Linked DNA regions of Alligator mississippiensis. The protein of the gene in region 2 purifies or fractionates together with the protein of the main gene of each other region. This does not show direct contact. Links are inferred from orthologs where the notes say so. Each region holds a gene or a part of one and is shown on either strand. Other genes may lie near its edges.

What was found. Proteins that work in one complex are often made in the same cells at the same time.
Region 1: the proteins of SIGMAR1 (region 2) and RNF185 purify together in Homo sapiens (affinity purification with mass spectrometry; 3 studies listed by BioGRID and IntAct, with this or other methods). This does not show direct contact. The link is inferred for Alligator mississippiensis from reciprocal best matches to the Homo sapiens genes SIGMAR1 and RNF185.
Region 3: the proteins of SIGMAR1 (region 2) and NPC1 purify together in Homo sapiens (affinity purification with mass spectrometry; 3 studies listed by BioGRID and IntAct, with this or other methods). This does not show direct contact. The link is inferred for Alligator mississippiensis from reciprocal best matches to the Homo sapiens genes SIGMAR1 and NPC1.

Annotation. Positions count from the first base shown.
Region 1 is NC_081833.1:20,564,974-20,575,201, reverse strand, and holds the start of RNF185 (E3 ubiquitin-protein ligase RNF185), read left to right. Parts: upstream 1-3,942; 5' UTR 3,943-4,106; intron 4,107-10,228. UniProt on the Homo sapiens protein: E3 ubiquitin-protein ligase that regulates selective mitochondrial autophagy by mediating 'Lys-63'-linked polyubiquitination of BNIP1.
Region 2 is NC_081826.1:300,002,511-300,012,738, reverse strand, and holds SIGMAR1 (sigma non-opioid intracellular receptor 1), read left to right. Parts: upstream 1-4,341; 5' UTR 4,342-4,422; coding exon 4,423-4,570; intron 4,571-6,237; coding exon 6,238-6,438; intron 6,439-7,689; coding exon 7,690-7,782; intron 7,783-8,331; coding exon 8,332-8,558; 3' UTR 8,559-10,046; downstream 10,047-10,228. Other genes in the region: GALT (galactose-1-phosphate uridylyltransferase), read right to left, coding at 2,753-2,922, 3,831-3,858. UniProt on the Homo sapiens protein: Functions in lipid transport from the endoplasmic reticulum and is involved in a wide array of cellular functions probably through regulation of the biogenesis of lipid microdomains at the plasma membrane.
Region 3 is NC_081826.1:86,882,150-86,892,377, reverse strand, and holds the start of NPC1 (NPC intracellular cholesterol transporter 1), read right to left. Parts: upstream 6,357-10,228; 5' UTR 6,277-6,356; coding exon 6,211-6,276; intron 1-6,210. UniProt on the Homo sapiens protein: Intracellular cholesterol transporter which acts in concert with NPC2 and plays an important role in the egress of cholesterol from the endosomal/lysosomal compartment.

The DNA.
Region 1 (10,228 bases), on a different chromosome or scaffold from region 2:
GGTTTCCACCATGCAGATGCATAACAGTGAATTTACATTGCATATAACAAATGTTTGGTATAAAAAGGGTCATCACATAAGAGCAAATTTGCATACAGAACCTGCATAAAGTGAGAGAAACCTGTAATGTGTGCTTATATAGGACAAATTGTTCAGGATGTTTGTTGTAAGCTTGTCATTATGGCAGTGCTTGGAAATATAATTAAAAAGGCAGATAAGAACTGCCATCCTAGAAAAAATGTTTGAAAGCAAGCATGTCACCTGCAGGAAACAGGTAAGATCCTTCAGGCCAAGAGAGATTCATGAAGTGAGTAACAGTTCCTGGAGAAGGCTTTCCATGTCCACCTAGAAAGAAAGGTTCAAGGAAAGACTGGAAATAGATGAGCTAGCATGGCTGTTGAAAAGATGTAGGGTAAAAAGGGTGATATTGTCAATTGTGTTTACATGAGGCCATGAATATACTACTGTGCTAAAAATACTAATAGTATGGGAGAATACTGGGAAGAATGACAGTGGAAAAGCACTGATGCTAGACCCTGAAAGAGCCCTGACAAGGTGAAGGATTATTTACCTTGAATTGTTTGGCAGTCTATTGAGTATCACACCCTGAGGAAGGAAATCAAGGCATAGCAATACACATGAGGGCTGATTTAGTAGATGTGGCACATACTTTCCTATAATCTTAGGCTGTCAAATGCCCTGGAACATGGGGTTGTACCCCTTATATATGTTTACCCTATCCAGTGTTCATCTGAAAGCTTTTACAAACGTATGACATGGTAATCCTTTGAATCCAACTTGTATTCAATGAGGAAAATACTGCCTTTCAACATTTTTTAACTTGTTGCTATTCCATTTAATTGCTCCTTGCAAATGTTATTATGGGAATAGATGGGAAAGCCTCATTTATCCTCTCCAGATTCTTCAGGGTTCAAAATTACTGTCTCCTTTTACTAACCTTGTCTCTAAACTTGCTTAATTTTTTCAGCCTCTTTTTTGTAAGGAAAGAATGCTTATCATACTGCTGTCCAACTCTGAATCTCTTCTAGTTTAAGAAATAAATGTTGGCTAGTAATCTAGTGAGTAAATGCTATGGATGTATATAGTGAGAGTGTATTTTAAATATTTATGTGAGGCAGAAATAGAATCATTCTTTAGATAGCCTAACATTATAACTTGCAACTATCATTTGCATTGACAAGATTCCCTCAGTAAGCTGTCTAAAGTTGCTTTTAAGTGAGTTGTATAGTTACCACAAAATGTCAAAGCAACAGAGAACATTTTGAGCACATTACTTACTTTCATGCTCATAATACTACAGAAAATCTGTTTATTTTGTAACAATATTCAATAAGAAATTTCTGCAGCAGTAACTAGCTGCACTGATTGCCACCTGGCTCATTCCAGCTCTAATAGGGTGATCTCATAATCCCACAAATACCTTCAGGGCCTGTGTAACATCTCACTAATTTGATATAACATCCAAGTACTGAAATGTTGTTGAAACACTGATGTCCCAAGCCAATCTCATGCTTCTCAGAATATTACAACTGTAATACAGGAGTTTCCTGTTAGGCCAGACCTCTCTTGGCCTTCTATCTGGTACCATGTAAACCAGTACAGCCTGTTCTATGGTCGGGTTGTTGTCAACTAAACGAGCACTCCCACCTGTGCTAGCCTGGGTGAGGAGGGTGTGTGGACACCCAGCAGGACTGAAAACAAGACCTGTCAAAGGTGGATGAGCTTCCTGCAAGCCAACAACTATCTGTACCTGGAGAGGAGATGGGTGCCAGCAGGTCACTTTGCCCAATGAATAATCAATGATGCAAATCAACTCAATTAATCTCATACCAGATTGGTCGAGGCCTGGGTCTACGACTGCATCCAGACAGAGTGCAGTAAAGGAGGGTTGTTACAGCATCTAAGGTGCTCCAACAATCGCAGCAGCCTTGGGACGGACTCGACTTGAATACAGGAGTTTGGCCTGTCTGACAAGATTCTTTGGGTAAATCCAGTATCTCTTATTAGACCAACTCTTATGGGCTCAGATCAAGCATAGACCTATGCTTGCCTGGCAAGAGAAACACCATGACTATGGAGGCAGTCCTTCCTAGTCACACTAGGGAAAACTGCTCTCCTGGCACAGGGATAGTACTTGCCAAGGTAATGTATAATAAACCTCCCACTTAGCTGCTGGAGTGGGAAGGTCTTGGCTTTAAGCCCACTTTATGGAAATTTAAGTGTCCTCCCTGGCTTGCCCCTGAGGTCCTATGGCTGAGGGCAAGCAAAACTTGGGGGCATCTGAACCCCAAGCCTCTGGGCTTGGGCTTGCAAGTAGGATGCCCGCCAAAGGTTTTGGAAACATCTGAAGCCCCAGGTGTGGGTGGAAGATGTTTGCTGGTAGTAGGGACACTTATGGTTCTGGACCAACTCTTGAATTTGGAATTTGTTTTGGCTAATTTGGCTTGGAATATGGAAAATTAACACCCCCCCCTCCCCCAAATAGTTTGAAAAATTCTTCTTACCAAGCTTTTGGGCACAAACACCCTTTGTCAGACTGAGGAAGCATCTGCAGATGGTCTGTGTTCTTCCTGGATGGCATGGTAAAGCAGCCAGAGACCAGTACTTTTATGCAAGAAAGCTAGTCAGTTAAATGTAAATTTAAGTGGTCAGTAGGTGAGAGACAGGTGGGAGGGGAAGGGGGAATGAATATAGCTGTAGTGAAAGGATGGGAGACAGGAGGGTAGGGGGGAAGGGAATGAGAGTAGCTGGTAAAGTAGAGGGTTTACGTGGGGAGTCAGATGTTAGATTTGACTGTCTGACAAATTCTCCAACAGAGCAAATATAACCAAGGTAACTAGCTGAGCTTTATGATGTAGGGCAGGATTAAAACTTTTGTAATAGCATAGCTCTCCATTCTAGATATTGTTCACATCTCCACCTCAGTTGTTAGTGTGATACATTCATATCCCAATCTAGGTTTTTTTGGTGATACTGTCACTGTGGACTTAGAAACTTTTACTGAGGGCAATTCTAAGGCTTTTAGCATGGCTTCCTTCCCTGGCACAACTAAATGTCACAGCTCTTATCAAGAGATTCACCAAGTTAACAGGTTCACAGAAGGTTAGGACTAGAAGGGGCATTGGGTCCAGCCCTCCTACTCTGGGCAGGAAAGACTGCTGGGGGCAATGTGGCAAGCAGCAGAGGGAGCTGAGGGTGACCACTGGGCAATAACTGGCCATGCTGACCTCCCTGCTTCTGGGCTGGGGGCTACGCAGTCTGCTCTGCTGTGTTTGAATCCATACACTGGGCCTGTGTGGTTTTAAGCTCTCCCTTTAGTCCCTGGGTCAGTCTCAGGCAGTGCCTCTGGCTCAGGCCTCCTTCTGGCACGTGCTCTAGACATGCATAAGAACACTGACATGGATTGCCATTTACCGGGTCAGACCACAGGGCCATCCAGCCCAGTAGCCTTTGTCACCTGGCAGCACAGATGCTGAAAGGGAGAGAGGACTGGGTATAACCAGGGGTTTTCCCACTGTTTCTCTCTCACTTGCAGCTTCCATGGTTGATGGAGGAGGGAAGCTCTCATTCAGAGGCCCCCATCCTGCCCTTCCACAGACTGGGTCTGGTGCCTCTCTGAGGAGCCCTGGCCCGGCCGCCGGGGCAGCACTGGCCGCCCCTCAGCCAGGTGACGGTCACCCCAAGGCCCTTGTCCCCAGCGCTCTGCTTTTGTGCACATCCCTTCGGGGCTGGGGATGCCCCGGGGCAGCAGGGAGGTGCCGCAGGTGCCGCCGGCTGCTGCTCCCTCCCCAGGCGCTGCAGGCTCGGGCCTTTCCCTCGGCCCCGGCGCCTGCTCCCCGTCTCCCGCCTTCTCCTCTGTGGAAAGGGACGGAATGGAGCCGGGCGCTGCCCGTCCGTAGGTGGCGGCTCCTCCGTAGCCCCATGAGGGGGAGACTTCCGCCCGGCCCCGGCTCCCGCGGAACCCCAGCGCTGCAGCCCGGCGCGGCGGCGGAGCGGCCGGTCCCTTCCCGGCGGGGCGGGCTTCCGGGGAGTCAGGTGACGGCCGCCGGGGCCGAGCGCGAGCGGGAGCGGCCCGAGCCCCACAGGTGAGCGCGGCGGGGAGTCCTGTCCTGTCCTGTCCTCTCCTATTCTGTGGGGTCCGCCAAGGGCTCGGGGCGGCGCCGGCGAGAGGCTGGATCCAGCGCGGGCGCCGAGGGCTCGGCCTCGGGTGCTGGGCTCGGCGGGGAGCGCCCCGCGGGCTGGGACGTGGCGCTCCGCCCTGGCCGCTCGCGGGGCAGCTCTGATGGGGGCAGCGGGGCCGGGGGTCCCCGGGAGCGACTGCATCGGCAGCGAATTGAGCCCCGGGAGCAAAACATCCCGTAGGCAACTGAATGGGGTTTGCTGTAGCGCGTGTTTAGCTCCGATGTGGGATTGTGGGGCGTAAGAGCCGGGCGTAGCTGGGGGCCTCCTCGCGGCCCAGCCGGGCGGGGCTGACAGGAAGGGCCCCCGGGCGCTGTCTTGTCCCTTGTCGGTTCCTGCCTCTGAGCCGGGGCATCGGGCACCGTCGGGTGTGCTCGGCTCATCCGGGTCTCATGTTTTGAACCTGTGATCTTCCTCCTTCCCTGTGTTCTTTTGTGTTTTCTCCCAAGAAATGAATTGTTACTTTCTCAGGGGCTTCCCTTTTTAAGGGAGGTGTATGGTTTTTCTTGGTGGGCAATGGCCCACAGTCCCTTGAAAGCAGCAAATAGGCCTGTAGGCCTGTCCCTTGTCGGTTGGTGCCTCTGGGCAGAGTTTCACTGGGAAGTGCCCACTGGCTTCTTGGACTCATTTGAGGGTTGTTGGGCACTGGCCGTTTGCCCTGCTCACTGTCCCACCTTGGCGCGCTTGTATTGAGCAATGATCTCACTCCTATCCCGTTTTCTCTTTAGCTATACCCCCAAACAACTTGACCTATACCCAGTAGACTTCCCTAATAACAGGGAGGGGCTAACCACTGCTCCATGGGTGTTCAGCCCACATTAGCCCTGTGTGTCAGATGGGGCTGGCATAGCCAGGTTATCTTCTGGGATTGTTCAGCATTTCCTGATCTGCACAAAATAAACTAAATACTTCTTTATTGTGTTTAGAAGTGTCAAGCAAAATCTCCTTGGTCAGCCTATAGAGATCTTTATCCATTGTCCACATCAACTCCTTAAAGAATGTTTGCTTTTAGTAAGTTAATTCCTTCATGCTCTACTGCCAGGAAAAATATCCGGGTTGTGTTATCAAACTGGTTAAAGCAGTTTTGCTTTATTCCTTGGATGTGCCCAGGTAAAAACAAAAAACAAAGCAAGCAAGCAAGGGTGCTTTTGGATAAGTGTTGTTCCAAGTTCTGTCTGAATTTATTCTCTTTTGGATGGAAGACAAAGAGGATAAAATGTGATTTAGTTATTTCCATCTCTTCAGTTTATTTTCTGATGGGTTGTAGTTCATATGGTTTCACTGTACATTGTATACTGACAATAACATTGCATTTGTGAAGCACCTTTAATTTCAGTGGATCCCAAAGCACCCTTTAAATGTAGGCCTCCAACTTCTGTCAGGTTCTTGAGCACAGGTCTATGAAGAAATTAAATAAGGTTGTGTATTGGTTCATGGATCCAGGCTGGGATAGTACTTTACACTAAAATGCAAACTATCTGTAAGAACCACCGATTGAATAACTGAAATGTGTATAGGACAGAGCAACATACAAACACAGGAATCTGGAATGTCTGTCTAAAGAGCAAGTTAAAGCATAACCTGTTTGTTTCTCTTCATCCATCCCCTGTCCCTTAACAAGTAGATAAATATGTGTTTAATAATTAACAAGTTGGATTGCCTCAGTTATGTACATGTCATGAATATCATAAAATGAACATCAAGGAATAAACTCAGTGCCCTAGCAAGGCGGGGAGAGTGGGGTGACCGCCCTGGGCACCAAAATGAAGGGGCGCCAAGAGGCACTGCCCAGCCGGGTCAGTGTGCAGGACAGAACTGCAAGCAGCTCGTATGGGGAGGCACAGGGATGGGGGGGAGGGCAGCTCCTGCCACTGCATGCACTCCCAAGTAAGCATAGAGGGGAGGGTGTGCCCCCCCCAGATCTGTGTCTGGGGCAAGAGTGGACTGCCGCTACGGGCTTTGCCCCAGGCACCAAACCTTGTTGCTACAGCACTGAATATACTTATAGTTTTTTGTGGGGCAAAAAAGTGATTTCTGACCACATGTTTATCACACTTAAAGTTCAGGGAACTCAGTTTATTTTTCATATTGGTGTTTTGTTGTTTGTGTGGGCTACATGTTACAAACAGTCTGAAAAGAAAGGTTTCCTGATGCTTTTACTGTTAATGACAGTTTTTTTAAATTTTAATTGCTGTGTTAGTACATGAGAAAGTGATCGAACTCACTTTCATTGCTCAAGTTGAGGGGGGTTCAGAAACTAAATACAATAGAATTCGTAATGAAAAGCAAACTTGATTTAAAAATTCCTTCAGTTTATTATAATCTCAGATATAACAAAGTGCAACTCATTAGAAGTTTTGTATTCATTTTGCTAAACAGAATTGTTAACTTGACAGGATCCCTTTTGATTTCATATTTCATGTACATAGCAACAAGAAGTATAAAATAGGGCTATCATCACAGTTAATGTGTGCGATTAATGCGTTAATCAGTTCCTGCATTAATTTTTTTATATTGCGCATATGGTTTTGGAGCCTGCTTCTGGGCTCCAATCCACCAACTCCAGGTTGCCTAGCGGGACAGTGGTGGCAGCACAAAAGACCGCAGGGCAGCCCAAGTGGCTGCAGTGCATGGGGTGTGGGGGGAGGTGCAAGGACAGATGCATACCAGCAGCTGCGGCCTGCACGCTGTGTGTACAGCAGTGCTGCACCATAATTCTGTAGCGGGGGAGAGGTAGGGGGAAAAGGAAGGGGCATGGCAGATGAAGTACCCCATGGTGAGGGAGGAAGTGGGGTAGGGGCTGGGGTGAATAGGGCCCTGTTGCCGGGGTGGGTTGTGGGCCAGAGCCACGAGAGGCTTATCCAGGGGTGCACGGGGGCTTGGCTCCCTGCCGCTGCATGCAACCGTGGGAGAGGGATAGGGGTCATGTGCAGAGGTAGGCTGCCCGCTGTGGGCTGGGACTCTGCACTCTGCTGCTTTTGCCCAGGGAGCCACATGCTGGCCACATGTTCCCTACCCTCCCAGCTGTCGGACGCACATCGTGGCATACTGCAGCTCCTGGGGCAAAGGCAGAAAGGCATAGAGCCCCAACCTGCAGCGGCAGCCTGCCTCTGTCCCGCACACAAATTGTGGGGGGGGTGGCCCCCATGCCTCCCCTGGGGGTACACACAGTGGCAGGGAACCATGCCCCCGGGCACCCCTGGACAAGCCTCCTGTGACTGTCCCGTGACCTGCCCTGGCCCCATGGCCCCATTAACCCCAGCTCTGCCCCATGCACAAATCAGGGGGCATGTGCCCACTATTCCTCCTCCACAGTTGCGTGCAGTGGCAGGGAGCCCCTCACTGTAGGAACCTTGATCGCCCCTCCACAGACATAGCCTCCAGGCGCTGTGCATGTGTCTGTGACTGTACTTCTCATTCCCAAACCGTAGCCCTCCCAGCCCTGCTGCTGCCCCTCACTCCTGCCCCACAGCACCCTGCATCCTCCCAAGGCATGCAGGGATCCCCCCTCCTCAGGCTCCAAACTCCACACACACACCCACAGCCCTCCACACGCACCCCCAACCATACAAAGTCCTGCATAATTTTGAGTTCTTTTGCATATAATTTTATTTTTTAGCTGTGCGATTAAAATCACAACTAATTGCGACTAGTTTTTTTTTTTTAATCGTGCAACTAATCTTAATCAAATTTTTTAAATGTTTGACAGCCCTAGTATAAAATATGTAGTGTTGGCATCTAGTCAGTGACATAGATCCCAGTTGGAAAGCATTTATTTTGAATGCTTTTGAAAAAAGTAACATTCTGATACTGCTATAACTATATATCCTGGAAATATCATTTATAATTTAAGTGGTATTATCCTCTCTATCTCACATGCTGAATTATTTTTCATCTGCTGTCTTTCCATCAAAGTTTTTGCATGCTCTAAATTAGAAATACTGTTCTTTTCTGCAGTTCCTCCTCATTTTTTCAGAGGCATATATATATATATATATATATATATATATATATATGTACCTTGGGCAAACTTTTATAAGTTTTGATTCCTATTAAGTTCAGATGCTTGGCTGCTTTTAATGACAGTTTCATTATGCCAGCATCTCTTTGGTGCAATATTTGTTGCCCTGCATCTTTAGAATATATTTCCCGTATAATTTGGTAGTGTTGCCTCCCTCCGTTTGCTGATTGGCAGGGCTCAGGTAATACTCAACAATATCCCATGTTATTATTTCTTCCTCAGTCTTAGACCATCTGTTGTTCTCAACTGCCATAGAACTTCAGATGCCAGTGGGCTGCTTCGCAAAGGTCCTGCTTCCCCTTCAGTGCTGCTCTTGTTCACTCAGATTGGCTCCAGATAAGTCTGGGTAACCTAAAGGGATGCATGTTGTAACCATTCATATACATCCTCTGTTTTGTTTCCCCTTCCCATTATTTAAGGAGGCCTGCTTGGAAACAGGTCTTTTTGTTTCTTAGCAGTTAAACAGCAGGAACAGGAGCAGATGATTTCCCATGTCAAGTAGGAATCTTTAAGGGACTCGGTCATTTCCATGGCACAGAGGATTGTGACTTCAAATTAGGGGATAAACAACAGGAATAGGTGGATACCTGAGAAACAAAAAACTTGTTTCCATGGAAATGTCTCAATGATAAAACATAAGAAAAAAAAATGGAAATCCTGTGAAAATTTTTTCCATGAAGTCATAACTAATACTTTTTTTGTTTGTTTGTTTCTTTAATGTTCCTGACATTTGAAGTGCGTTTTGAAGAGTAGGTCTAAACAGTGGACTTGGGAAACTTGCACTAGCAATTCTGTACGCTGCGCTCTCCTTCACAACTTTTTGTTTGCTAAAGCCTGGAAGTGATCTGGTGTGGGGGTGTATCTGGCGTGCTTAATCTATTCCTTTCATCTGAGCCCTGAATCGGACACAAAATGGACCTGTCTGCTGTCGGCCTGAAGTTTCATCATGCAGGCTAGAGTGGTTAAGTTACAACTGTCACAGAACTTGTTTGAACAAAATCTCTTTCCATCCTTGGATTGGGAGGTCTTGCAGATCGAAGCCATAGGAATCCAGTTGTTATGGAGTTACTTACTGAATGTGCTTTCAGTGCTCTGGCTACTGTATTGGGTCTCATGCACATTTGAAATGTAGAAGAGTCTATTACAAACTAGGTTAGATTAAATATACTATATGTCCCAGTGACAGACAACAACAGACAAATGTGGGAAAGAGACTGACTTGCGAAGTGTAGAATCATTAGCATGCTTGTTTTTTGTCATGTAGAATCATAAGCATGCTTGGTTTTGTTAATTTAAGCTATGCATACTGGTTTTTAAATCTACTTTCTCTTGTATAACTAAATTTGCTTTATGAAAAGGATGAAAGCCAGGAGGGAGATCCTTATCTGAAAATGATGTTTTTGGATCTTTAAGTTCCCCAAACTCTTCTCCAGAATATTAAGTGAAATTGCAAGATAGTTCTGTATAAACTGTAATTGGTTTTGTCCATATCTTTTTATTCTAGTTATTACATAGGACTTTCACTGCTGTCTTTCATCTTTAGTGGTTAACTTTTTCATTCAATTATATCTAGTCCTATTGGCTTCTGCTTCATTCTTCATAGTGCTTTGATTTGTGATTTTTTTTTTCTAGTCATTGGATATTAAGGATTCAAGGATTTGTCTGAGGTTACTGTCTATGGAGACTAGTTGTTTAGATAGTGGGGTCTTTATAAATATCCAGGTTTCAGCATCCAGCAGTGAGACTGCCTTCACTTTGGTATTGAACTCTATAAATGTAATCTGTTTTTCCAGGCTGCCTTAAGGGTTACTTAGGTGTGTTTTGTTTTTGCTTTTCTGTCTTTAATATCTTAGTCTGTTTTATCTGTTTTACTTGGGATACTCCCAAGATAAGTGGCATGTCAAACATCTACGTAAAGAATTGTTATTGTTGGCTTTTGCTGTGTTGTGACCCATGTGAGTTTTATTTACTGTTGATTTTTTTTAGTCTCACTAGCAGTGCATGCAT
Region 2 (10,228 bases):
ACAGCCCCTTTACCTCCCAGCTGCTGAAGGAAGTTCAGGGGTGTTTAAAGAACATGCATCAGCACCACTACAGAGGGGAAGAAAGGGTGCAAATCTCCGCATGCCCAGGAGGTATCCCCAGCTGAAGGAGAAAGAGAAGCCCCCTACTTAACAATGGCATGTGGCAATTCAACAAGTACATCTTCATGGGTTGAAGAAAGCAGCATGTGCCCCCATGTGTGGAAATAACACATCCGTCCCTGCCGGGAGCCACGTACATGGAGGAAGTGAGACTGCACATGAGGGAAGAGCACCCTGAGCTAAGGGGCTGCCACTCCCATTAGCCAACAGCACATTTGTATCAAAAGAACCTGCCATGACAAGCAGCAGAGTGCTCATCCCGTGCCAGCCGTTACAGTGCTACCCAAACAAGACCGCGAGGACAGGCCACTCGGGCAGTGCCAGCCTGGGCTCAGCTAGGACACCCCTCACGCCACAAAGCCTGAATGCTGCCTATACCCACAACCCCAACACAAGGCCTGTCAACTGCAGCCAGCCTCTCTGGGGGGAAAAGCATCTTGCAAAGCTTTAGCAATGTAGTGCGCATGCTTGTTATTACCCTGAAATAGAATAGTTTTTTTGATAGCATACTGTTAGGTTAACAATAATTTGGATTATTAAGTAGTATTAGCTTTACAGCTGAATACAAGGCATGACCTGTGGCCTAGCAATGCAGCTGACCACAAGGCAGAATGATAGCTAAGTCTTTGCTTGTATCAAATATTCATTTTAACTGTATTAAGCATTTTCCGAGTTAAAAAGTGGATCTGTGTCTGTGCGCTGAAAAATCAGCTACAGCAAGTAAGATAAGACAGGGAAACCATTGTTCTGGGTGCAGTGGTTGTGTCCTTGAGAAGTATCTACTACTGTGTAAGGTTTTGCTAACATATTATAATGTTACTGTTAATTAACTTTTAGCTTTTAAAGAGTGCTAGTTCAGCTTAATAGAAATATGCTGTTACAAAGATTTGTAAAGCACCGCCCAAGTATTGCTTCTGTTAACCCTGTAAGTCTTGCCTTATAAGTACAAAAGATCGCCTCACCCTTGAGGGGGGGCCATTTTGCCTTTTGCTGGCTTTATGGTCTTTGCTGGAGCAAATAAACAGCTGTCTTTCTTTACTCGCGTTGTCTGTCTATCAAATTACAGCTAGACAACGAACCACAGGGAGGTTTCTCCCACCCCAGCAATAATCCAAGCAGCAACAGCTGTAATAGGTCCTGTGCTGCCGGTGACATCAAACAGGCCCGTCTGCATGTGCCAAGACACTGTACCCCACCACGGGTGCAGAGGAATCACAATGCCATTTTGGGAACAGGCGAAGGCAGGTTAGGCATTCCAACTGCACATCCAAACCCCAGCCCAACTTCCAACAAGCCCTGGGTTAACAAAGCACAAGGGTCAACGAGCCAATTCCCTCAGGCTGTGGCATGCTGAGTGTTGATATGCTAATGCAGGAGCCAGGGGCCGGACAAAAGCAAGGAGACTGCAGCCCCAGCCTCTGGCTCCAGGGAGTCTGCAGAAGCCCCCCCCACCCAGGAAGGGGCTACTTGCCATCACAAAAGGGAGAGGTTCTGCAATACAATGCTGTTCTGCAACACAATGGCCTGTAGGCAAGTTCCTAGAAGAGGGTCTAAGCAGAAATTGAGGTGATGAAGCAGACAAAAAAAGGGGGGGGGGAGAAAAAGGGCAGGGGTGTCTTTGCAGTCAGCAACATCTGCTCAGACCAGCCAGACGAGGGCAGGCAGGGGTAGGGTTCTAGCAGCCCGGGTGCCCACATCATGCTATCATCACAGAACCATCTCTCATAGAAGGGACCTTGAGAGATCACCTGGTCCAACTAGGGATCAAACCTGCGACCTTGGAGTTATTAGCATCCCACTCTAACCAGCTGACCGCAGCACTCCCTCCCTCCTGGGGGTGCTCACAAAGAAGTTCCAGCCAACACGTAGCTGGGGCTGTTCCAGGACAGCAGGACACTGGCTAAGGGTGACCGCAGCATGGCTACGGGCTGGTGGATTTAACACAAAGGAGTTTAGACCTTTACTGGCACACAGAGGGAATCCCAGTGCTGGCCACAGGCTTCCAACATGGCTTAGATTCCCAGTCCCCACCAGAGCCCCCATAGGGGCAGCTCAGTCTGTTCAGTCCTGCCGCGACCTGGAGACCGCGCCAAAGAGGGACAGATGGGTGGCTGTTGCAGACACTTTCCAGGAGCACATTGCTGAGGGTGCTAGCAAAGTCATGGGGCTTCCTCCATGGGAAAGAGAGGGTCTGTGTCCCCGTGCTGTCCCCCAAGGGACCACACCAGACTCCCTGGGCATGGATCCATGTACACCAAAGACCGCACACTTGATCCTACCCCACTAGGCGAAGGAGTTTGAGACACCAGCCAGCTACTCGAGAGCCGCTTCCAGGGGTCAGAATCATCTGTGAAGCCCCTGGCACAGGGTAACTCCTTTGTCACTCCCAGATGCCAGGAGCAAAGCCCAGAGGACAGAGCCAGGGTCCTGGCAATCAGGACTCCAGGGTTCCAGCGCCAGCTCCTGGAAGGATCAGGCCCCTTAACAGCGAGGCTGGGTTCTGCAGAGCGCAGCCCAGGACAAGCACGTGCTCTGTAATGCAGGAATACCAACACCACTTCCCCATGCCCAGGATGCACGTCCAAGTGTCTCTGCCCTGAGCATACCCCAAGCCCCTGCACCAGTCTCCTACCTTCCCATTAGCTCGCGTTGCCCCAGGGCACAGCGGGTTGGACGGGTCATAGCGGGGCACATCCTCCTGCACCGGCTTCTCCACCTGCCCCTGCCAGGGGCGCTTCATCCTGTGGGCAGACACCAGGACCCAGTCGTCCCGCAAAGGGTTGTAGCGGATGTGCTGGTGCTCTGGAAGGGAGAGCAGTGTTGTGAGCGGGGAGTGGAGCTGCTTGAACACATCATCCCCCGGTGCTGCTAGAGCTGTTGGACACAGCAGAAGTACAGAGACCCCCCCCACCTCAAACCTGCCCGACTTCACCCACAGCCCAGCACGGGTTCCCACTGCAATCTCAGCACAGGCCAGGCGCCAGGACTCCTGGGTGGTCTCCCTGGCTCTACCACCGACTTGCCACATAACCTGGGGCAAGTCACTTAGGCCAAGGCTCAAAATATCAGCTAGCGACCTACACAGAGGGAGTCTCCAGCAGAGTTCACTGGCTTTCACCTTCCTCCTATCCCACACCTGAAGGGGTGCATAGGGCTGTCTCCCATGCAAGCTCCAAGCCTCTCCACCTGGCAGCCTGCTGTAGGCACTACGCCTGGCACTGCCAGCACAAGCAGGGAGGCTTCTGTCACCTCACACCGCTCTCCTCTGGGGGCACGTCCGTGCTGCAAAGGTGCATGGGCCCATCAGCCAGAATGCGGGACCCGACTCTGAGGAGCTGGGCACAGGTTACTGGTGGTGAACAGGGTTTTAGTGCCTGAAGGGCAGTGTAATTGCTGCCACCCGCTGGGTCTGGAGACACAGCTAGGGGTGAGGGGTAGGGCAAGTACTCCGCTGAGAAGGGGAACAAGCCAGAGCAGCAGAGGAGCTGTGCAACACAGCAGCAGGGCTGGCATCCCCAGTTCCTCAAGTCCTGAGCACAGCAGGCAGCCATGCAGGATTGCTGCTGGGGGACAAGGCTGGGTAAAGGATGTGGGGGCAGGGGGGAGGGCACAGCACCCTCGGGGGTCCCCAGAGGTCCCCTCTAACCCAAGCCCAACCTGAGGCAGGATCAAGCCTGTGCAAACCAGCGCGGACAAACCCACTGCCCAACCTCTGAGCACGAAGTCGGCCCCAGGCATCGCCCCCGACCCTGCCCAGGGAAAGCAGGGGGGCCGCAGCCACCAGCGTCCTGCTGCTGCAAAGAAAAGGGGGGTCACAGACACCCACAGAATCACAGGCAGCGGTGGGAGGTCCCTGGCAGGGAGCCACAAGGGAGCTCAGCAAGTCCCATCCAGTCCAAGCAGGACCAGGACCAGCCCCAGCTCCATCATCCGCCCCAGTCTGAGCAGGGGGGAAAGCCCTGCCTGGCCCCAGCGCGGCATCAGGCGAACCCAAGAGCTGACGGCAGCGGCAGTACCTGCCGCGCGCTCCATGCTGCTTCCGCTCCCGCTTCCGGCGCCGAACGCTCGCGCGCCCAACGTTCCATCCGCTCCGCCCCGCGCCGCGCGCCTCTTAAAGGGGCCGCCGCGCCCTGCGCTCCTGCTGCTGTGGCCGGGCCGGGGCGGGGCTGAGCCCGGCGGGGCGGGGCGGGGTTGGGGCCGAGGCCGGGGCCGCCCCGCCTGGCCGGGCCGGGTCGGTTGGGGCCGGGCCGCCCCGTGCGGGAGCAGAGCGGGTCGGGAGCGGAGCGGAGCGGAGCGGGCGCGATGTGGGTGCTGGGGCCGCGGGCGCTGCGGGCCGGGCTGGTGCTGGGCGCGCTGGCGCTCGTGCTGCAGGGGATGCGGGTCTGGCTCGGCTCCAAGCGCTACGAGTTCCAGCCCGACGAGATCGCGCAGATCGCCCGGCACCACGCGGGTACGGCCCGGCCCGGCCCGGCCCGGCTCGGGCTGCGTGGGGACCTGGGGGAGGGGTCCAGGGGCTGATCTGGGGGAGGGGTGCAAGAGCTGGTCTAGGGGTGCAGGGGGCTGCAGGGACCTGGGGGAGGGGTATAAGAGCTGATTCAGGGGGCCAAGGGACTTGGGAGGGGGTGCAAGAGCTGATCTAGAGGTGCAGGGGGCTGGGGGGACCTGGAGGAGGGGTGCAAGAGCTGATCTAGGGGTGCAGGGGGCTGGGGGGATCTGGGGGAGGGGTGTAAGAGCTGATATAGGGGTGCAGGGGGCTGGGGGGATCTGGGGGAGGGGTGTAAGAGTTGATCTAGAGGTGCAGGGGGCTGGGGGGATCTGGGGGAGGGGTGTAAGAGCTGATATAGGGGTGCAGGGGGGTGGGGGGATCTGGGGGAGGGGTGCAAGAGCTGATCTAGAGGTGCAAGGGGCTGGGGGGACCTGGGGGAGGGGTGTAAGAGCTGATCTAGCGGTGCAGGGGGCTGCAGGGACCTGGGGGAGGGGTATAAGAGCTGATCCAGGGGGCCAGGGGACTTGGGAGGGGGTGCAAGAGCTGATCTAGAGGTGCAGGGGGCTGGGGGGATCTGGAGGAGGGGTGCAAGAGCTGATATAGGGGTGCAGGGGGCTGGGGGGACCTGGGGGAGGGGTGTAAGAGCTGATCTAGAGGTGCAGGGGGCTGGGGGGATCTGGAGGAGGGGTGCAAGAGCTGATATAGGGGTGCAGGGGGCTGGGGGGATCTGGGGGAGGGGTGTAAGAGCTGATATAGGGGTGCAGGGGGCTGGGGGGATCTGGAGGAGGGGTGCAAGAGCTGATCTAGGGGGGCTGGGGGGATCTGGGGGAGGGGTGTAAGAGCTGATATAGGGGGCTGGGGGATCTGGGGGAGGGGTGTAAGAGCTGATATAGGGGTGCAGGGGGCTGGGGGGATCTGGGGGAGGGGTGTAAGAGCTGATCTAGAGGTGCAAGGGGCTGGGGGGACCTGGGGGAGGGGTGTAAGAGCTGATCTAGAGGTGCAGGGGGCTGGGGGGATCTGGGGGAGGGGTGTAAGAGCTGATCTAGAGGTGCAAGGGGCTGGGGGGACCTGGGGGAGGGGTGTAAGAGCTGATCTAGGGGGCTGGGGGAAGGGTGGGGGTGGTGCAGGGGGTTGGGAGGAGCCTGGGGTGCATGGCTGGAAGGGGCTGGAAGCTGCAGCCCACAAGGGTGCAAGGGGTTCTGGTGGCGGAGCCTTAGTGCATGGAGGCAGGCAAAACAAGGGGCTTTGCAGGAGGTCTCTCAGGGCTGGGGGTCAGCAGGTGCCCTCTGCGATTGCCCAGGAGGCCTGAGGGCATCCCCTGTGAGCCCAGGACTGCTCCAGGCAGGGCACAGCGCACAGCCTGCACCCGCTCACAGTGGAGCAGTGAGCCCCAGGGATGGCAGGGGGAGCCCAGGGTGATTGCAAAGAGCAGCCGGTGCAAAGGGCAGCAGGTCCGGCTCCCCCCATCCAGTCTCCAACAGTTGTTTGAACTCAGTTCGGTGGCTTGGGCTGGCAGGGGCAGGAGCTGGCAGGGTGTGGAAGGTGGAGCCTGCAGGAAATGGAAGTGAAGCAGGGGCCTCTCAGAGACGCTGGACATGAGCCAGGCTGAGCCAGCCGTGTCTGTGCCGTAGGCCTGGACCATGAGCTGGCCTTCTCCAAGATCATCATGGAGCTGCGGCGGAGGCACCCAGGCCACATCCTGCCGGACGAGGACCTGCAGTGGGTGTTCGTGAACGCAGGCGGCTGGATGGGCTCCATGTGCCTGCTACACGCCTCGCTCACCGAGTACGTACTGCTCTTCGGCACCGCCATCGACACCGGGGGTCACTCAGGTAAGCAGTCGCTTCCACCCCCTTCCCTGATAGCCACCAGGTCTTGTGCCTGCGCCAGCGGCTGCAGCAAGGGAAGTTGAAGTTAGATACTAGGAAAAACTTTCTCACCAGGAGGGCAGTAAAACACTAGAACAAGTTATCCAGAGGGGTGGTGGGATCTCCATCCTTGGAGCTATTCAAGACCCGGGTAGACAAAACCTTGTCTGGGAGGATGTAGTTGGGGTTGGTCCTGCTTGGAGCAGGGGGTTGGACTAGATGTGACCTGAGGTCCCTTCCAGCCCTCATTTTCTATAATGTAAGCCAGGCTGCAGGGCACTGCTTTGCTGCATGGGCCCAGCCCTCTGTTTGGGACAGGTCTTTGCGAGGCAGTTCACTAGGAAGGGAGAAGGGGGGCGAGCCACAGAGCCTGGGAGTGGACATGCCAGCAAATGGGGACCTGCTCAACTGGGTCTGCCCTGGGGCTCTGCACACTGGCTTGTTCCCTGTCTCCTCCAACCAGTGTCCACAGTCACAGTGCCTGAGCAACAACTGGTCCCACCAGTAGCTGGGGCAACTGCTTATGGAGACAAGTGGGCAATTGGGATAGGGAAATACGAAGCTAGACCCCGAGGCATCGGCCCCACTGGGCAATGACTGCAGTGACCGGTTCGGCAGCTGCCCTGGTGCGTTGTGTGCCCAGGCCTGGTCACCTACGTGTGGGAGGTGGTGTTAGGGTACCAGGGGAACCCCATGGGCACTCAGGCTTGTCTCCCCAGAGCAGGGAGGCTGTTCTGAGATGGTCCAAGGCGGGGAACCGACCGCTGGTGGCACAGTGCAGGGAGGGAGACTGGTGCTAAAGGACGTTGCTGGCACCCGAGCCTGGCTTGCTCTGTTCTGCACAGCCAGGACTCCTGGGTTCCAGCTGGCAGGACATGTTGGCCCTTCCCCTAAAGTTACGCCAGCTTCACCTGCCAAGGACTTTGGAGCAGAGAAATGTGTTTGAGGCAAGGATTGTTTTGGATGGCCTTGCCCTGCCAGAGGCTGATTCAGCACCAAGAAACCCGCCTGGCTAGTCCCAATCCAGCAGGGCTTGGCACAGGCCCAGGACTGCAATCAACCAGTTGATCCAGCAGCTCTGCTCCCTCTCTGCATGGCTGAGCCTGCCATCAACTCAGACGTGCCCTCCAGCACCTTGATCCAGCGCCTGGATGGGACAGAGGGAGCCTGGGGCCACACCCCAGAGCCCTGGCATGACCCAAATCTCTCTTGCAGGTCGCTACTGGGCTGATATATCGGACACGATCATCTCAGGGACCTTCCGGCAGTGGAAGGAGGGGTCAACCAAAAGCGAGATGTATTACCCAGGTGAGTGTGGGGGGCCCCTCACGCCTGTACTCTGAGGCTGGGTCACCTCAGGGCTTTGGGGGAACAGGGTAAGCAGGGAGGGGGTGCTGGGTCTCTGGAGAGCTCTTCACAGCTGCCCAGCGAGGCAAGTAAATGCAATATATGCAGGAGGTATATAACTGCAGAGCATGCTGACAGGGGAGGGGGTGCTTGAGGAAAGCTGAAGTCCTGACAGAGGTAGTGGCAACCCCAGGAGGGTTTATATGCCTAGCATCAGGGCTCCAGCCAGCCTGATATTGGAAGGGAGGGCAAGGAACTGTTCCAGGACTGTGTAGCAGACAGCAGGTTTGTGCTGTCTGGGACCAGGCGCAGTCCAGGTCAGCCCCTGCCTTAGCTGCCCCCGCCAGTGCTCGCCTCTCCTCTGGAGTGCTGAGCTCCCCCTGTTTCCAAGCCCCTCCTGGGACCCCCACACAGCTGCACCAAGGCAATCCAGGGGCAGTGCTGGCAGGTGGGGATTCTCCTTGCCCTTCCACCACCCCCCAAAATGATGGCCGGTGCATCTGCCTGCAGGGGACACCATCGTGCACCGGATGGGCGAGACCACAGCGGTGCAGTGGAGCGCTGGGACATGGATGGTGGAGTACGGTCGGGGCTTCATCCCCTCCACACTGACCTTCGCCCTGGCCGACACCATCTTCAGCACTCAGGACTTCCTCACTTTCTTCTACACCCTCCGTGTCTATGCCAAGGGGCTGCTCCTTGAAGCCAGCACCTACTTCATCGGCGCTGCCCACTGAGGTCTGGGTGCTGGGGGCCATGCCCTGCCCCTGCCACTTCTGGATAACACTAGGGCATCCCTGCCCCATCACCTATGCGCCCCTTTCCAGCGGGCGTCCAGCTCTGGGGGCTAGCCGGACTCTGCTGGAGAAGGAGATCAGCCTTTGGGAACGCCCAGCTGCTCCTCCCTGGAGGGACCGTTGTTCAGACTGGCTGCCCTGCGGGGGTCCCCAGGGGTCCTGCACACTCTGGGTGGGGCTTGGGCCCAGCCAGAGGTGCTCCCAGGAAAGAAGCACGGCCAGGAAATGGGTGTGCCAGCTGGGGAGGAGCACAGGGGGCACAGGTTGTAACAGCCCTGTGCTGGACACTTCCATCTGCGTAAGAGCAGGGTCTGATACAAAGACCCCCTGGACCAGCTCCAGGGTTGGCCTCCTGCCCTCGGTGTCAATGACCTGGCCCCACACTCGATCTCCTGGAGTACCACTGCTGCCATCAGCTCTGCCTCCTGTCGGTGCAGCCAGTGCCCCTAGGAGCCCTGTGGTGCCAGCCAGGCACGCACGTGTGCATATGCATCTCAGCTGTCCATGAGCGTGCGCTGTAATGCCTTCTGACAGCTCAGGGGAGGGGGGAGAGGTGGCAGAGGCCCCCTCCCCTTGTCAGGGCAGAACCATCATCCATTGCCTTCACCAAGAGCCTTACTCTGGGTCTGCACACATGTCCAGGCTGGGGAAGGGCAATGCTCACCCAGGGGCTGTCGCCTGGGCAGAGCAGACCCAGCCCATCCCCCTTGCCCTTCTGCCTCCTGTGAGGCCTTGCCCCACAGCCGTCATATGTCCTACCCCCACAACCTGGGCACCCCCTGACTGGCACATCCTGACCCCCAAGCGGGACAGGGCTGACCGGGGGGGCAGCAGTGAAGTCCCATGGCCACCCACCCAGCGGTGGCAGGCTGCATACTGCTTCTCCATGAAGCAAAGAACTCAGAAACGGTCCAGCATCCACCTTCACTGGTAACATCCAGGGTGCTGCCCCATGGGGTGGAGGTAGGAGGATTGTAGGGGTGTTTGAGGGTGCTCTTGGGGTCACCTGCTGGCCCAACAGTGTTCCCATCCTCTTGTTACCTGCTGCCCAGGGCCATTGTGAACGCTAGCCCCTGTGGCTCGGCCCTCCCATTCTTCACAGAGGGCACAGCCCTGCTCCGTTTCCCCCTCCCAGGGGCAACTGGCTCCCATGTGCTCTTGCCAGGGCTGCAGCTGCTCTTCCTCCCAGTCCCAGTGCACTAGTGGGGTCGGGAGCTATGCACCCCCTGCACCCATCTTCCCTGTAGCTGGGATCCAGATGGCCCTGTCCGCCACATACCCAGCAGCGCCAGCCTCTTCTGTTCCCAACGCAGCGTCAGCCCAGCAGCCACCAAATCCCATTGCTTGTGTCAGACTGGTCCTGTCCCAGCCTTTGGGGGGGACATGGTTAAGTATGTCACCAATAAACCTGCTCGTGTGACCAGTCTATGCGCAGAGTCTCTGCCCCATGCAAGGCCTTGGGGGGCCTGGGTGGATGCAAGCATTGTGCAGCCCCTCGGAGGCCAGCTCCCGGCTGTAGAGAGGCTCTGGGACCTTTCCAGCTCTGCCTCCTAGCATGGCCCCATTGAGTTCTGCTATGTGCTGTGGGGGGAGTAAGAAGAGGGGTTGGT
Region 3 (10,228 bases), about 210 Mb from region 2:
CTACCTATACCCAGGTTAGCCTAGGTAGGTCTACACTAATCTGCTATCTGTCAACTCTTTCAGCTAACTGGGTCTCCAATTCACATGGATCAAGCTAACAAAAACCTAAATGGAGAGGTAGTTTATGAATCCATGCACTACTGTTATCATTGACATCATTAGACTTTTGGCCCCAGATGTGCATGCAAAAATATTTACAGCATTTGCCAGTTATCAAAATCTCACTTGGACTCAGCTGCTTATTAGCATCAAACTATGATGTATACAGGATTTTTTGTTGGCTATTAGAAACCAAGTCTCCACTTGTGAATGTCTGCTACATGACTGGGTTGCTCTGAAGTAACAAGTGACCACCACGCATGTCTGATGATGGAGCCCACATGGACTTTTTACTTTGCTCTCTTTATTTTGTTGCTGCTTACTAGAATCATTGGTTGTTAAAATCAAAAGTGCTCTGCCCACTGAAGTTCTAATAAATTACATGCATCTAGCACACAAAGCATTATTTTATATTCAACTTGCTATACTGAATTAAACATTTTTATTCTTCCTACTAATCCAAGATGAAGTAGTAAAAGAATATGCCATCGGGGCCTGGTATGAAGAAGATATCCAAAACAAATGTACAGCACATATTTCCTACCTAAACATTGGTCCTGTATTTCAAACTCAAGGATATAAGGTCACAGGCAGCTTGACCATCACAAAACAATCAGCATGCTGTACAGGCACAAAGAACAATGATCATGTTATGTTGAAAGGATAACAATGATTATTTGTCATTTTGCACCAGACACTGAATAATTAGAGAAGATTGTATTTAGCTTTTCTTCTCCATTTCTAATCTAAAACACCTGGCAGGGATTCCATGAGAAAGATCACAGAACCTCGGTTACATTCCTTCATTCCCTGTTACAGCACCACATTACCTGGAACTTACTTCCCAAAGCAAGCTGCAAGGCTGGATATTAGTGCCGAGTTTAAATGAGAAGCATTGGTGTTATGGGCTATGGAAATCAAACTGATATAGCTTTGCTACGAATTTTTTAAAACTAACTTAGGAAGCTAGTTGCTGCAGTGAATTACTGCATCTAAACTTGACCTTGGTTTGAATGAATCATAGACAAAAAGAACAAATTTAGGAGCAGGGGTATTATGCTTAACTATTAACCATGTACTACCCATCTGCCTGCAATCAGAAAGCTACCAAAGAGTTAGTATGACTGAGAGCCCCTGCTTTGCTGTCCTGCAGTTCAGTAACAATAAAGCTATTGCATATCAGGAATGAAATATATTTTTCTCACTCTTCAATTGTATTGTAGGAAGTTTGCTAGGCTTTAGCCACATCACCAGAGCTATTCCAAGATTCCCCCCAACCTTTTTTTGCTCTACTATAGAATTCTTCCCACCTCCCACACACCCACAATTTAAGAGCTATACAGAAACAGCTACTATTTTTCCACTCTGACCAGTGACTCCCTTCACTTTGGTTCCACCTCTGACCCACATTACATCCCCTAACATCTCAGAGAACTTTAGAGGTTGATAAGTATCATCAAAATCTTACAGAAGGAATGACTGAGACAGAGATTAAAGATCTGTTCAAGGGCACAAGAAAGACTATGACAGTATAAAAGTTGGAGCCCAGGTCCCTGACTTAGTTCTGTAATAGAAAAAGAACACAAAACACTAAGCCACTGGATCTCAAAGGTAGAGAAATGTTTTATAAGTTATGTCAAGAGGCACAAAGACAAAAAAACAAACAAACACACATTCAAACAGCTGAGTATTTGTTCTAATTCTTTCCAACTGACAGTTCTACATAAAAAACACAAAAAGGTATAGTATACTTAATGTCTGCTAAGCCAAGTACTAAATCTTCTCACTATATAAGAATATGCCAATGTTCCAAATCTATTCATCTACTTACTCATGATGATCTCAGTCTACTATTAACTGCGCTAACCCAAACAAATGTCATTTATGTAATTAGTGGTGCTCAACCTATGGTCCACAGGCCAGATCCAACCTCCAAAGCAACTGGGTCTAGCCTGCAGTACAGCAAATCAGTGTCACCCCGGGTTCAGCTCTGCACCCACAGGGACAAGGGCTGTAGATTTGGTAGGAAGGAAGAAGTGGAGCTGGAGTAAGGGGGAGCTGTGTTGCACAGGGAAGAGCACTGCTAAGCCACACAGCCCCTGGCAAAGGCACCCAGCCAGGCACAGGTACAACAACCAGAGTCATCCATGATACAGCAGGAACCTGGAGTCACTGCTTCAGCCTGCTAGGGCCTGGTGATAAACAGCAGCATGAGGCACTCTGCCCAGGGTTGCTGAAGCTGAAGGGCACTTAACACTGCTCTGGGGCGGGTGCTTCTGGCATGGCCCCAGGATCCAGGGATTAACCCAAACAAGCCCAGCCCTCTAGTTCACTATCCTTTCTTCCTAGGGCCGCAGCCACTAGGTTATCCCATGCCAGGCCCAAGTCCACTTGCCACACAGGAACTGGGCTTCCTGGACCACTGCCACTCCACCCCCATGACTCACAAACCACCATCACTGCTGCCCAGGGTAGGTCTGCACTGAGGGAAACTAGTATTAATGGCCTCACTGACCATAGCAAAGGAAAGGGGCCATGGGTGCCACCATAAGCACTGGCGGGAGTCCCCAGACTCTGCTAGTGATCATGTCAGAGATGAAGTAATAGGGAAAGCCAGGGAAAACCCAGGGCCTGGCTGGTAGCTGATACCCTCAGCACTGGGCAGTAGCTGCCAAGAACCCAGCCCAGTCAAGTAGCCAGTAGCAGGCCAACACCCTACCCCCTGGTTCTCACAAAGCAACTGCTTCAGTGGCAAGGAAGTTGATTTCTCCCCTCTTCTAAGAGGGAAAGCAAGCAGGTCTCAGCCAATAAGGCTCAATGACAGCAGGTCTTTTGCTGGCCATCTTGACAAGTGGATTGGGGTGGAGGAATGGGAAGAACCTGTCAATACTCTTCTAACAAGAAGGCAGTGCCATATGTGGAGCAGGCTAGCCCCTAGACCCTTCTGCCAGGGTGACTGATGAAGCCATAGAGAAAGCTGTCTGCTGGAGAGCTGAAGGGAACCTCCAAGACAAGAGTCCTTTGCAGCAACATTGCCCGTGTTCTACCCCCAAACTCCCCAAACAGTCACGGAGGTAGCAACCATGTAACCCTCTCCCTGTTTAAACAGCAGTGGTGACTACACAATAAAAAGGCAGCACTGTACCCATACACACTCTGAGGATTTTCTTCACAGGTCAAAGTTTTATTTTTTAAATATATATATTCCACTGCTCCTTTCTCCTAAGTTAGCAGACTTTCTAAACCTGTCAATAAGTGAAAAATAAGTCACAGCTACTTTAATGTTAAATGAGACTTCTAATAGTTTATAAGTCACGCACATATAAAAATAAAGGCAATTTTGTTTTAAACCTTTGGTGATCAGTTGAGAAATACAGGGCAAAGGCAAGTTTATAGTGCAATATTTTTGAAGCCACAAAATACTCTCATCAGTTACAATTCGGATGAAGCCTTTTTGTTTACTGAACTAAATGAACTGTGGTATCAGTTTAAAGCCTGATTTTAGATAAAACTTTTAACATGCAGGGCTTATCCACTCTGTGTGAATATGAAAAATCCAATTAAAAAAACCCCATATTCGCTCTAGACAGTGTAAGCCAACTGTTACGCTCCATAGGTGCCTGCATATTATGGTGCTTGTCTTATTATACTGTGTTTAGTGATCTATAAGAAATGGTATATTAATGTGAACTATTAGAGAGCCCTGTGCACACTTTTAACCAGTTTGCATACAATAGTAACTTCTTTCCAGCTTGCCTGGGGTAGGAGCAAGCTCCACAAGATGAGACCCTGATAATGTTTTTCTTTGCTAGATCTCTGCAGGGTATCCCACTGGCTTTCAGGTCTTAGACAACACCTTTAGATGCCCTCTCCAGGAGAATTTTTCTAGCAACCAAGAACTGGAGAGGACTTTCTTCAAACCAACCTCAATTCTGCTTCTAGAACGTAGGAGGTCACAGCACAGCAACAAGGGACTTTCCTTCTCCTAATACATCTTCCAGTCTAGGAGAGTAAAGTTCACTATCTCTACAGCACTGTCAACATCTGTCCACTCAGGGACAAAGTCATGATTGAATCCACATCTTGCATGGTGTTACAAAATAATGAATTTCAAGACCACAGAGAAAGACAAAACCACTTTAAACAGAACTGGAGAATGTGTACTTTGCTTAACCCGACTTAGCAAGACAGTACTCTATTCTGCTTACTTGTTTAAAAAAAAAAAAAAAGGCAACTTCAAGAGTTTGAGAGTTAAAACCTCAGCTTCTAAAAGCACACTGTGCTGCCCAAGGAAAAAAATGCAAACATGCATGTGATTTACACTTGTGTGCTCTACATCCAACATTGCCTTCCAATCTCCTCCACTTAAACAAGGACTGCAAAATTACTCATATGGTCACATGAATTTACCTATCCCTCCCCCTCAATAACACTGTAACAAAAGTATGTCCTATTAAATGAGAATTACCTTCCTCCTGAATATTCTTGCATTTCTAAGGCTCTGGCAAACATAAAGTATCTTTCACCAGCATACTCAAGTTCTGTATAATTAAACATTTTTAAAGTCCTCCTAAAGCAGACACTTTTTTGTTCTACCTACATCATGTTTGGAGTAGGGTATCCCATATCAAGTCTCTGTTATGCTCTAGGATTTGATTTCGTGCTATGTAAATCTTAAGTTTCAACTAGTTTAGATGTGATATCCCATACGATAAATGTTAAGTATCATAAGAAAGCTCAAGCATTCAGCATTTTTATGGTGGGTTTGTAGCCTCTGTTCACACCCTGACAAACAAGCTGCAGCAGCAAGCAGCTGTTTTCAGAAAGTTAGGAAAAAGAAAAATAACACCTTATCAATCTCAGCACAGTATATACCACGTGGTGCTCATCGCATGCTAGATATGCTCTACCCCAGGGATGGGCAATTGTTTTGGGCGGAGGGCCGCTTACTGAGTTCTGGCAAGCCATCGAGGGTCGCATGATACGCAGCCAGGGGCAGATAAATATTAATTTTCTAAATTTTTTAGGGGCCCTGTGGGCCAGATAGAATGGCCTGGCGGGCCACATCTGGCCCCCAAGCTGCATTTTTCCCACCCCTGCTCTAGCCTATGCCCTTTTAACAATGAAAAGTATCTTGGGGAGCCTGTGGCAATCCCTGAAACCTCACTGAAGCAGCCTGCAGAAGTGTTGCAACAGTTCAACTGTGCAGATTCACAGAAGCTTAGGGTTGGAAAGGACCTTGTGATTTTAGGATTGCCAAAATGCTTTCTTGCCAGGAAGACAAGAGGCAACTTGACCTAGATTAACCCCCCCCCGAAAAAAAACAACAAAAAAAACAGACCAGCAGCTCTTGGAAAACCAAGCAACAGCCTTCAACTACCTGAAGGGGGGTCCAAAGAGGATGGAGCTAGACCAGAGGTCCTCCAACTGTGGTCCGCAAGCTCCATTCAGGTGGTCCGCAGAAAGGCTGCGGAACAATGGGGGATATCTGTCCTTGGCCTGGCACTTGATTTATTTTTTCTTACAACGGAGATTAAGTCGGTCCACCGAGACCCTCAGCAATTCTCCAGTGGTCCGCAAAAAAAAAAAAAAAAGTTTGAGAACCACTGAGCTGGACTGTCCTCAGTGGTGACAGAGGACAGAACAAGGAGCAACCATGTCCAGCTGCAGAGAGGGAGGTCGTGGTTAGATATTAGGAACAACTTGCTCACTCGGAGGGAGGGAAGCACTGCAACAGGCGCCCAGGGAGGCTGTGGGATTTCCATCCTTGGAGACTCTTAAACCCCGCCTAGACAGAGCCTTGGCTGGGATGATCTAGTTGGGGCTGGTCCTGCAGAGGGTGGGACTGGATGCCCTCCTGAGCGCCCGTGGCTCTCCTGGAGTAGTTGCAAAGGAGAGCTGTCAGGAGAGCCGGCAGCCCGGCGGGGGCTCGCACGTGCGCTCCTGTGACTCCAGCAGAGCGGGCGGCCGCGGGGGGGAGGGGCGGCCGGGGCTGGGCGCGCTCGGGGGGGGGAGCAGCCCATGGAGCACCGGCTGCGCCCCTCGCCCGCCCGCGCGGGACCTCGGGCAGCCGCGTCCTTCCCGCCGCGGGGTCCCGCCGGCCTCACTCACCTGCGCGGGGCCGAGCAGCAGCAGCAGCAGCGCTAGCGAGAGCGGGGCGGCGGGCGGGCGCCGCATGACCAGGCAGGGGCTTGGGCTGGGCTAGGACAGGCGACGCAGCAGCCGAGCCGAGCCGAGCCGAGCCGCGCCACACAGATGCGGAAGGGCCGACTCAGCTCAGCACCGCCCCGCCGGGGGCCCCGCAAGGCGGCGGGAGGCGGAGCCCGCCCGGCCCAGCCAACCCCGCGCCGCCGTCGCTGCCTCACGCCACCAGCCTCGGCGCGGCCTAGTGTTTGCCTCCCTGCGGCGCGGAGAGCCGGCGCAGGGCGTGGGGCTATGGCCGGGGCGCTTCCCGCAGCCCTAGCTCGCCGCCCGCCGCGCCGGAGGCTGCTGCAAGCCTCTGCCCGCTCCCCACAGACAGCCCCAGACTCAGGCACCTCCTCTCGCCTGTCCTGTCAGGCCTCAGCGCCCCTGCGTGTTGCGGCGGCTTGGGTCTCCCCTCCCCGCTAAGCACTGACCCCCTCCTCTGCCCAAAGTTGCCACAGGCTTAATGTCATGCGTGGGATTTGCCCCCTTGGGCAGATCTCGGATTTTGGCAAGGTGGTGGGGTGTGGCTGCGGCCGTACCTGGTCACACAGCAAGCAACCCAGCACATCCACAGGTAGAAGGCAGCACCCGCACACAGCATCACGCAGACCCCAACAATCAGGGGCTTCATCACTTAAAATATAACAGCAGGACGTTGCATGGAACGCGGCACCCCAGCGCATCACCGCGTAAAATGTGACACCCAAGGATGTCAATAGGTGGAACACAATACCCCAGTGCTCCATTGCAGAGAACACAACATCCAAGGACATCGTCGCAAACAACACAATGCCCAAGGACATCAGTATATGGAACACAACACCCAAGGACATCACCACATAGAACGCAATACCCAAGGACGTTAATAGGTAGAACACAACACCCAAGCATGTCATCCCGCAGAACACAACATCCATTTTTCTCCAGTCAAAAGAAACTAGAAGCTTACTAATATGCAAGGGGCCCAGGGCTATATCACTCTGTTGAGGATGGAAGCAAAAGGAAAAAAAAACACCAACATTATTGGTATGGGCACTCATTTGTTAGATCAAATATTATATATAAAAGCCCAACAAGCTAGGCAAAATCATCAATAGAAGTTCTTTCATTAGTCATTAGAATTAAATGTGCAGCTCTTTTTCAGATTCAGACCTTCTTCAGCATCTTAATGATGCATCCACTACTTCACTAGAAGTTATTTCCATACCTGAGTTAACATTTCTAGCTAGAGTTAAAAAGCGTCTGCACAGCTACTTTTCCACCCCATCACCTCAAGGAAATGTTTTTCTTTATAAAAAATGCTTTTTTGAAATATGATACAAAAATCAGAAACACGTATATCGACTATACCTGTAAAACTGAACTGTGTCACAATAAGCAATACAAAAAAAGGGGGGGAAAGGGATGGAAAGAAAGAGAAGTGTGCAATGAGCAACAATTTAGCTACCAAAATAGGCCAAGAATTCCTTCCCGATTGCACCAAACTTTTCAAAGCCATCAAACCTGCTAAATATGACCCTCCCCATAGATGCCAGCTGCACCATCTCATTTTACTAGTTGCTTGCTTTATTGTCAGGGCACAGAATTTCAGTTGCTCATATCGTTTTAAGTAAATTCTGTTTTCTAAGTAAAATGGGGTTTACAAATATTTCATATTTTTTGTAAGAAAATGTATTTAAAATATATTTGTGAGGCACAAGTGTCAGCTGATGGACAACTTAGTGGCATCAACATCAAATAGGAATCTAGCCAATTAAAGAGCTTCATAAGACTGTGAGCAATGTGCTGACAAACTAGTTGGCATATGGACCCAGGTAAGTGACTTAGGTTATCCAGCCCAGGAATGAAAAATAAATCAAAAGGTGGCCAAAAATAAATCCATGACATGTTTCAAATCCAAAACGGCACTTCCTGGATGTTCACAACTTGTGCTATAAGTCTTTCATTGTCTTATTGCTGAAGGATTCTCATCTTGAATAAAGCAATAAACAAACAAAATAGCGTAATCCAGAAATGGCCCACACTGCACTGCCAATTGGGAAGCATTAATTATTCAGCCTACTCACTAGGAACTACCTTGCCTAAAACTTAAAAGAGTTCATTTTATTTTGGCTGAATCTGGTGTGCCCTGACTCAGGTTCTGTAAGCCACGACTGTGTTAGGCCTGCCTCTGCCCAGAAATAGCTGTATTTTACTTGTGAGTTTGCAACATTTATATAGTAACTTGGGATCCTTTGCGGTAAAGAAACCTAAATAAATTATGGTATTGGGTGACAGCATACCGTTGGCGACAAGCTTCTAAATAATTTAAAATGAGCTTGGATAGAATATCAGTATATTTTTAGAAATATATTTCCACAATCCCATGCAAAGTGGGTCATATGACTAAGTTTATTAGTATATTTTATTACAACTATCATTAGTAATACGTTTGTTATATTATTATATTAATTACACTATGTTGACATCATATCTTCCCAAAATAGCTGGAATTATTTGCTACCATGAAATTGTGTAACGCTCTCAGTTTTACTGGGTTTATACCACAGAATAGTTTGCTCCAAAGACATTGCTTACATAGGTGTAAAATATTCACAAACTGCTGACGTCAAGTAGCATGATCAGTGTTGTAATCGTCTGAGACTAAAAGAGTTTCCAGTCTGTTAATGTTTGTTATCTGTCTCAAAGGAAACCACTTTAATTATGAGATGGTGTGACATACTCACACAAGCTCCTGGTTCCTATGGCAGCCTGCTGTTGTGTGTGAATATTTAATCTAGGTGATACAGCAAAAAAAACCAAACCACAAAATAGTCCAGATGTTTGTTAATATGACAAACCATCGCCATCTGTTGGCAAAAATGTTAACTGCTGTGTATAAGTGCTAATATAAATAGCAGGGGTATAGGCTGTAGCTGTCTGTGTTGGTCTAAGGACACAGGCAAACAAGGTAATTTGGGTAAACCTGATATCTTTTATTAGACCAACTCAGATAGTTGGAAAAATTCTTCTTTGCAAGCTTTTGGGTATAAATACCCCTCCTCAGGCTGAGGAAGCATCATTCCATTCATGAAGAGCGCACACCAACTGTTGGTGCTTCCTCAGCCTGACGAAGGGTATTTATACCCAAAAGCTTGCAAAGAATTTTTCCAAGTATCTGAGTTGGTCTAATAAAAGATATTAGGTTTACCCAACATAAATAGCAAATGGCTCAGATGATAATTCTTATGTTTTCACTTTTGACTTCATACATTTTTTTTATCTAACAAAACATCACTCAGCTCTACACTGAGTGGTCCTAGAAACCTGTGGATTGAAATATAACAGAGTTATGCAAATCCTAAATGAGAAAGGATTTAAAATTGGCATAATTTTCATAGGTATTTGCCAAGCTTACAAAAGTTCTATTTTGGTGTTACAAATGCCTGTGTCTTCAGCTGAATAGAGACGGCATAGTCTTGTCTAACAAATCATAGGAGGGCAAATTATTAAGAAATCAGAGAAGAGAGGGAAAGCTAATGGAACTTTTTCAAGGTGTACAGTGCTGTAATCAAGAACAGTTAGCCCTGCAGATTGTTCTCATCTTGCACTGATATTTTTCAGTTTAAATCAGATCCGTAAGATACTTTTTTGAGTAGCCCATATTCAGTCTGAGATGGATAACATTATATTTGCTAATGTCTTCTGATTGATGCCTACATTTTAAAGTCTATTTGCCATTATACATATTGCCAAATTGAGAGGTGTTATTCCAGTGTAATGTGTAAAATGATGTTTGCTATTTGGCTGTGTACACATCAGTAGTATGTTCCTTCCATTAGCTGCTCTGTAATAACCTTCCAGATTCAGGTGGCATGGTTTTACCTTTCATTACGCTTGCCTCAGTGTACCTAATACTTCAATCAAGTTCTGTTAGCTTCAAAGTTGCTAACTGGGAGCAACA